Coturnix japonica: one gene and its partner. The protein of the gene in region 1 interacts with the protein of each later gene in a pairwise test. Links are inferred from orthologs where the notes say so. Each region holds a gene or a part of one and is shown in the gene's direction. Other genes may lie near its edges.

Region 1 (3,746 bases):
GCGCTGGCACTGGATGCTTGGAATCATTTTTTTTTTCCCCTGCCTTGCCTGCATGCAGATGGCCTGGCTCTATGCCTCACACTGGACATAGTGCTGAGAGCCATCAGCATCCAGCTACTGCAATGGGGGGGAACACCACGGTCCCGTCCCTGTCACCATGTAGGATGCAGAGCTCTGCTGGAAGGGCCTGGTGGGCTCCTGGCTCTCAGCTTGTGCTGTGAGGGGTGGTTCATGGAGAGCGCTGCTGGCCTGGCACATTTCATAGGGCGAGCTTAGGTTGGATATTAGGAAGAACTTCTTTACAGAAAGGGTAGTTAAGTACTGGAATGGGGTCCCCAGGGAGGTGGCTGAATCGCCATCCCTGGTTGTGTTTAAGAGCCGTTTGGATGTGGTACTCAGGGATATGATTTGGTGTAGGGTTTTTAGAGTTAGGGTTCTGGTTAGGCTGCGGTTGGACTTGATGATCTTCAAGGTCTTTTCCAACCTGGGTAATTCTATGGTTCTATGGTTCATAGAGGCACAGAATGGTTTGGGCTGGAAGGGACCTCAAAGCCCACCCAGCCCCAACCCCCAGCTGTGAACAGGGCTGCCCCCCAGCTCAGGCTGCTCAGGGCCCACCAAGCAGGCGTGGAGCACCTCCAGCGATGGGGCAGCACAGCTCTGTAAGCTGTGCCAGGGGCTCAGCCCCTCACAGTCAGGAATTTCTTCCTTATATCTCACTTAAATCTCTTCTTTTTTAATCTAAAGCCACTCCCCATTGTCCTGTCGCTATTCGGCCATGGAAAAGGTCCGTCCCTCTCCGGTTTATAAGCTCCCTCGAAGTACTGGAAGGCTTCAATGAGCTCCCTCCCTGGCCGGCTGCCTGAGTGGAGCTGCTCCGTACCGCGGTACCTCCATGCCGCATGGCGGCGAGGCTCCGCGCTCCTCTCGCTACTCTATGGCCCGCGATGGGAGCCGTCCGCGCCTGCGCTCCGCCCTGTCTCTGCTGTGTATCCGGCCCCCATGGCGGTGGCGGTGCTGCGGCCTCTGGACGCGCCGCCGGCGGATCCGGTGCCGGTGTCGGCGCTGTTGCTGGCTCCGCCGTCGCTGTGCGCGGCTGTGCGGGGCCGTGGCGGGGGGCTGGTGCTGGCGGTGCGGCCGGCGGGGCGCGTGGGGGCTCAGGCCGTGCTGCTGAGCGCCGTGGCGCTGGAGGCGGCCGGGCGGAGGGGCACCGAGCTGTGGCTGCGCGGGGCGGTGCTGCGCCGCCTGGGGCTGCCCGCGGGCCGCAGGGTGGCCGTGTGGCCGGTGCGCCGCCCGCCGCCGCTGCTCTGGGTGCTGCTGGGGGCGGCGGGCCGGGCCGGGCGGCCGGCGGGCGGCGCGGTGCTGGCGCGGCGCGGAGAGGCCTTGCCGGGGCCGGGCCCGGGGCCGGGCCCTGTGGTGCTGGAGGCGCGGCCGGCGCTGCAGGGCTTGCTGGGCAGCGGCACTCGCGTCGCGCTCGCCGCCCCGCCGCCGCGTGAAGCCGAGGCCGGGCCCGTTGCCGCTGCCGGAGCCGCCGCCCCCTGCCGCCGCCCCGCAGCCCCGCCGCTCGTGTCTCGCTTCGCCGCCGGCCGCGGGCGGGACGAGGGGCCGCGGCTGCGAGCGGCGCCCCCGAGCGGCGGGGCGGGAGGCGGAGGGGCCGAGGTGTGGGTCAGCCGGCGCGGGCTGATGGCGATGGGGCTGTTCCAGGGCGAGTGGGTGCGGGTGAGCGCAGAGGGGTCGGCACGGCATCACCTGGCCGCGCTGCTGGCCCGGCCCCCTGCGTGGGAATACCCGCCTGCATGGGAATACCCGCGGAACGCACGACGCCGGACACCGGACGGCGCCGCCCTGCTGGCTCCAGCACTCGCCTTCAACCTGGGCTGCGAGCCGGGCGGCGGGACGCACGTCTGTCTGCGGGTGAGAACCGGGGAGAGCGGGGGGTCAGCGGGCGCGGGGCGGAAGGATGACGGCGTGTCTCGTCACCCCGCAGAGGTACGACGGTGTGCCCGGGGCTGCCGAAGGGAAGGGAAGCCGGTCGTTGCTGCCCGTGCCGCCCTTTGCCGCAGAGCTGCACGTCGAGATGGTCTGCTCACCGGCCTACTGCACACGAGCCACGTACGACCACCTGCTCTACCGGCACTTCCAGACACCCCGGTGAGACACAGCTGGAGGCTTTGTAATGTCCGCTCACATCATTGTGGGTGGTGCGGTGTGGGGACAGGAGCTGCATGCGGTGATGGTCGTGGGGCCCTTCCAGCTCGGGATATTCCTGATGCCATGGTGAATCTCCCCTTAAGCTCACACAGGCCTCACTTCCACATGTCACTGTCCATCGCACTTCTCCCTCTGGTTGCACCTGCTTTCATCCCACGCATCCTCAGTCCCTCTGTATTCCCAGTGTCAGAATACAGAAAGGACTGGATTGGTGTTAACTGCTGTATTCAATTCTGTAGAAACATGTGGTATGCAGTGGATACTGAAGAAGAATTTATCATTTCTCACTTCTGAAGCTGTTTTTGTTGTTGTTTGTAGCCTGGTCCAGGAGGGAGATGTTCTCTGTATCCCAACATTCGGATGTGCTGAGTTTTTAGATGGAAATGCAGACAAATTCCTTAGGTAAGTGGCAGTAAACTGGTTCTATTATACAGGTACAAAATAGAAAAGGTGCTTTTCTCCTCCTTGAAACAAGACGATGGGTTCTGCTCTCTTCTGTCCTTGGAGTCCATAGAGTCACAGAGTGGCCTGAGTTGGAAGGGACCTTAAAGATAGTCCAGTTTCAACCCCCTGCCATGGAAAGGGTTGCTGGCTGAGAGCTTATATACCAGTTTTTTTACAGAGAGGGGGAAACATTGTTGGGTTGGGGATGGTTGCAGCTTCCCTTTGCTTACGTAGGCAAGAGCTGAGAGAGCGGGAGCAAAGGGGAGGAAGGGGTGGATGTAGGACAACCACTACTGCATAAGGAAGGGAAAGTGGAACTGTTTGTGCTGGATTTACGTGTTGAACATTATTCAGCTCCATTATATATTTTAAAACTTAGAAATATAACCCTATGATGAATATTTTTCAGTGATTTTTTGGAGGGAGGCAGAACCACAGGAGGCACAAGCCTTCCATTTGTGCGCTTAAGGTGTTCCTGCCTTCAAGATGTTGACTCAACAGTTCAGACTTCTTGTTTTTCCTTTAGGTGGCCGGAGCTTTACTTCAAAGTGAGGAAGGTATTAGGCACGGTGGAAGGCTTGCAGTCCGAGGGTTACCTGGCAGACACCCAAAACACCTCTCTGTACCTGGTAAGATGTCAGAGAGCAGGGTGCTTTTCCGCAAGATCTGAGCCTAATTTATCCTGTATTGCTCAATACAGGATAAATGTGCCTGTGGAGGCTTGCATCTCTTGCTCTTGAGAAATGGCTTTTCAGGACAGGCTGTCAGTTGGTCATTGTCTTTTCTCAACAGATGTTTTACAAAGTGCTGATTTTCCTCATAGGTGGGTTCAACAAACAGCGCCGTCCCATCTGCCCCAGCCTATACCAGCCACGAGTTCTGGAGCAGTTTGTCTCCTGCTGGACTTTCCGATGTTGTGAAGGAGATCTGTGATGCTCTTAGGCCTCATCTGACCAGTCAGTGAGTTAAAATTCTTTCTAGCAAACCTCAGGAGATCTGGAACCTTGGGTCTCAGGTTCTTCAGGATGTGCAAGACACACATGTGATTATAGCTCTGGTTTTGACTTGGTGTTACAGGGCAGCAGCGCTGA
Region 2 (3,697 bases), on another chromosome or scaffold:
GGAAGCAGAGTTGCTCAGGGGCAGCATCATGGTCATGCTTCTGATTTTCTTATACTGAGGCCTTACAAGTGATGGCTGAAGCTGGCATAGAATCATTGAGGTTGGAAAAGGCCTCCAAGATCATCCATCCAACCATCTACCTACCACCAGTATTTTCCCACTAAACCATGTCCCCTAGTACAGTGTCTACATGTTTCTTGAACACCTGCAGGGATGCTGACTCAACCACCTCCCTGGGCAGCTTGTTCCACTGCCTGACCTCTGAAGAATGGGCTGGTTGCGTGACACAGAGGCTACTGGGCTGTGGAGGGATTGCATGTTTTTCGTACCTGGAGATGCCCCTTCTGCTGGGTGGCAGGTGCTCCATAGCTGTGCTGCAAATAATGTGTTGGAAAATACTGAAAAGACCTTGCTAGGTAAGGGAGCAGCGAGGGTGTGTAGGCAGCAGGGTGAGGGCCTAAGTACTGAACTGAACAGAAGGAAATAAGACACCTAGGTTTCCATTAGCTGTAGTTGAATTAGTCCTTTCTTAATATGTTTGGTCTGTTTCAAAGGGTAGAACTATCTTGCTCTTTGTTTTGCTCTGCAGCTTCTCCTACATCCCTGCCGTTCATTTGCAAACTGGTGCAGCTCTTCCGACAGGCTTGGGCAGCTGTGTTGTCTCCAATCCACAGGCCTCCAATTCAAGACTAAATGTCTTCTGCCTCTGCTCCTATGTCAGCTTGTCTTGAGGACTTTATGAAGTTCTTCAAGGACCGTTGAAATCAGTGTCCTAGTGCAGATGACCACCTGTGATCTCCTGTGAAGTGGTCCTCTCCTTCCTTCAGACAGGGAGTGGTGGTGTATGAATTTTGAAGCCATGCCAAGTATTCCTGACATTACTTTGGCTATTTGGTGCCGTTCTGTCCAACACCAGAGTAAATCCACTCCTTCTGTAATCTACAACTAATTAAGATCCTCCTTTTGAAACACTTTACTTTGGTTGTGGCTCTTGAGTGAGAGTTGTGTAGACAGTTATGAAGTATGATGCCTGTTTGGAAGATGGTTCCATTCTTGCACATATGATGCAGTTCCCTGAACAGCTGAAACAGCATTCCTGGAATCAGGAATGTTAAAAGCAACAGTGTAATTAGGGGGAATATTCTTTTGAGCCTGATGACATCTCAGATCCCAGTTCTTCTAGCATGGGGCTGAGGACAAGCACATGGAAGAAAAACACTGCAGGAAATGAAGCATGTTGTGTTTTGAACACCGTGGTTTCTCTTGTGACTGATGCCTCCTCATACAGGCGCTCTTGATTTTAATTGTATCTATGGCAGAAAGCCGAGGTGGTGTGCTACAAGTACTATTGTGCTGCACCTACAGATCTTAAATGCAGATTATAGTACCTTGTGCTTGCCTGGTGCATGGTAATCTGTAGGAGCCTGTGCCAGTGGTAATGAAATTTATTTTTTTAAATTATGTTCCACATTGTTGTCTAGTTGAACCACTGAGCTTGTTGCATTGTTTTACTCTTTCCCCACCTCTCGCTTTGTTTATGAAGATGTCAGCAAGTCCTAGTATGTCTAGAAACCTTCCTCCTATGCCCATAAAGTCCTAATTTACATGGTAACCATTCAGCAATGCTCTGTCATTCAGAGCAGACAATTGTTTGGTCGAAACTCTGAGATCCCCACAGCTGTGGCAAGAAAGTTACTGTCTTTACAGAAGGTCTTACAGTTGATGCTGTTTCTGATCACCTGGGGCAGAGATTGGAGGTCTGCAGGAGAACAATTAATTCCCACTGATTAGCAGTGAGTGAGTGCCAAGGGAGAGAGCACTATTTCAGGATTGCTTCTAACACGCTGCATGTGTGCTGGAGAAAACAAGTTAGAGCCATGTGGCAAATGTAGCCAGCTATTCCTGCATCTGTGCCAAGATGATTCAGGCTGACCAACATCCACCTTAGAGAAACAAAGTCTCCTTTTTGGTTGGGCAGTTTCTATCCAACACACCAAGCCTGTGTAGGGTAGCCAATATAGGTCCCACTGCAGCATCTTACTGTGGTATCCTCCTTCAAATCAATCATTTGTTCCTAGCAATGGTTCTGCACATGTAGTGGCTGTTTCAGTTTTCTTTACAAGGACAGCAGCCTGTTGGTGTGCTCTGTCACTTTGCAGCCTACCAGGCTATGTGGAAAAGTCTGTGTCTTTACTGCTAAAAGTCATGCTTTGTCTATATTGTTCTTGAGTTATCCTGATAGAGAAGTACCCTGGTGTTCGTGTGAGATAAAGTGGAGCACCTATGAATGCAGGAAGCTGTCATCACCTTGCCTAGTTATCTCAGGTAAACAAAAAAGTAAAACTACAAGACATTCCTATCCTCTCTCCCCTGGAATTTTTGTCTCAGTTGGACTTAACAACTGAACAAGTAGCACACAATGCTTCACCCAATTAAAAATATATATTTATCATATACCGTGTATACGGGGAGGAGCAGTTCTTGATACTGCTAGATGATATATGTCATCTAACTATCAGTGTAGCCACACTTCCCTGCAGCCAGTGCTTGGTGGAAAACCAGGTAGAATCCAACACAGAGGGTCTGGCTGGAATTGAGTTCTTGCAGAAAGTGACTGGATTGCATCTACTGGCCACCTAGTTGCAAGACCTTGCTCTAAAGACTTGGTAAACCAGTAGTTCATGAAACAATAAATTTCCTTTTGAAGTCAGACTAAATTCTAAGCAATATGTGACCGTTCAGCTAACAGCCACTTTTTAAATCTCAGTTTCTGTTAACTCTTCCAGTTAAATGGCAGAGCTGCATTATGGGGAATGGGTTCAGAGGGCAGACCATATGTTATGTGTAGAGCTCCATTAAATATCACAGCCATTCATTTACCAGAACTCCAACATTCAACTTGTTTTTATTGGTACGTTGGCAACCTCCACTTCTTTTGAGTACTACTGATACTGGATTTGAACTGTGTTTAGCTTTCCATGAGAGGGATGAAAGCAGAAACAACCGATCTTTCTTTTTTTGCAATGAATGCTAAACCTGCAATATTTAATTTTTACAATAAAATAAAATGACTACTCATTTACCTCTTTGTAGAGTTGCTTATTTGTGCTGTGATTAAGTGTATCAGAGCTTTAGCATTTAATATATTCATGCTGTAGAGCCTTGAAATAGGTTCTGGAAATGTTTCATATGTGTCCTCGTTGTACAAGTATATTGGAATCAGGTAGCAGACTTGCTAATTAAGTAGAGATTTACATGTCTGCATTTTCATAGGAGTTCAGAAAGTAATAATTATTTTCTGTGAAAGATGCAATATATATATATATATATTTATTTAAAATATATTAAAATATATATTTATTTAAATATATATATATATATTTAAGTGTTTCTATATCCTTTGGGATGGCCAAGATCAGAACTACTGAGAATAAACTACCTGGTACTTGTCTTGATCTTTGTTTTTCTTTGCATTGTTAATGTATCGTGGAGGGAAAAGATGCAGTTGTGTTAATTCCATTGGAATCCTACCACTTAAGGCTTGTTCAGAGAGGATATTTGTGCTTGCCACGTGCATGCAAACTTCACACTGGTATCTCCAGATGTAACAGCAAATGTTCTGCTTTTTGTTCTGGCATCCTCTGTGAAGGAAACAGTTCGATATGTGAAGGAAACAATCGTACGACGAATCTGTTAC

The links. The genes of interacting proteins can lie anywhere in the genome.
Region 2: the proteins of PEX6 (region 1) and PEX26 come close enough for resonance energy transfer, tested with the Homo sapiens proteins (2 studies listed by BioGRID). The link is inferred for Coturnix japonica from reciprocal best matches to the Homo sapiens genes PEX6 and PEX26.

Annotation. Positions count from the first base shown.
Region 1 is NC_029518.1:13,974,441-13,978,186, reverse strand, and holds the start of PEX6 (peroxisome biogenesis factor 6), read left to right. Parts: upstream 1-987; 5' UTR 988-1,002; coding exon 1,003-1,914; intron 1,915-1,987; coding exon 1,988-2,151; intron 2,152-2,529; coding exon 2,530-2,613; intron 2,614-3,181; coding exon 3,182-3,284; intron 3,285-3,478; coding exon 3,479-3,615; intron 3,616-3,732; coding exon 3,733-3,746. UniProt on the Homo sapiens protein: Component of the PEX1-PEX6 AAA ATPase complex, a protein dislocase complex that mediates the ATP-dependent extraction of the PEX5 receptor from peroxisomal membranes, an essential step for PEX5 recycling.
Region 2 is NC_029516.1:50,688,489-50,692,185, reverse strand, and holds the end of PEX26 (peroxisome assembly protein 26), read left to right. Parts: intron 1-589; coding exon 590-693; 3' UTR 694-3,082; downstream 3,083-3,697. UniProt on the Homo sapiens protein: Peroxisomal docking factor that anchors PEX1 and PEX6 to peroxisome membranes. PEX26 is therefore required for the formation of the PEX1-PEX6 AAA ATPase complex, a complex that mediates the extraction of the PEX5 receptor from peroxisomal membrane.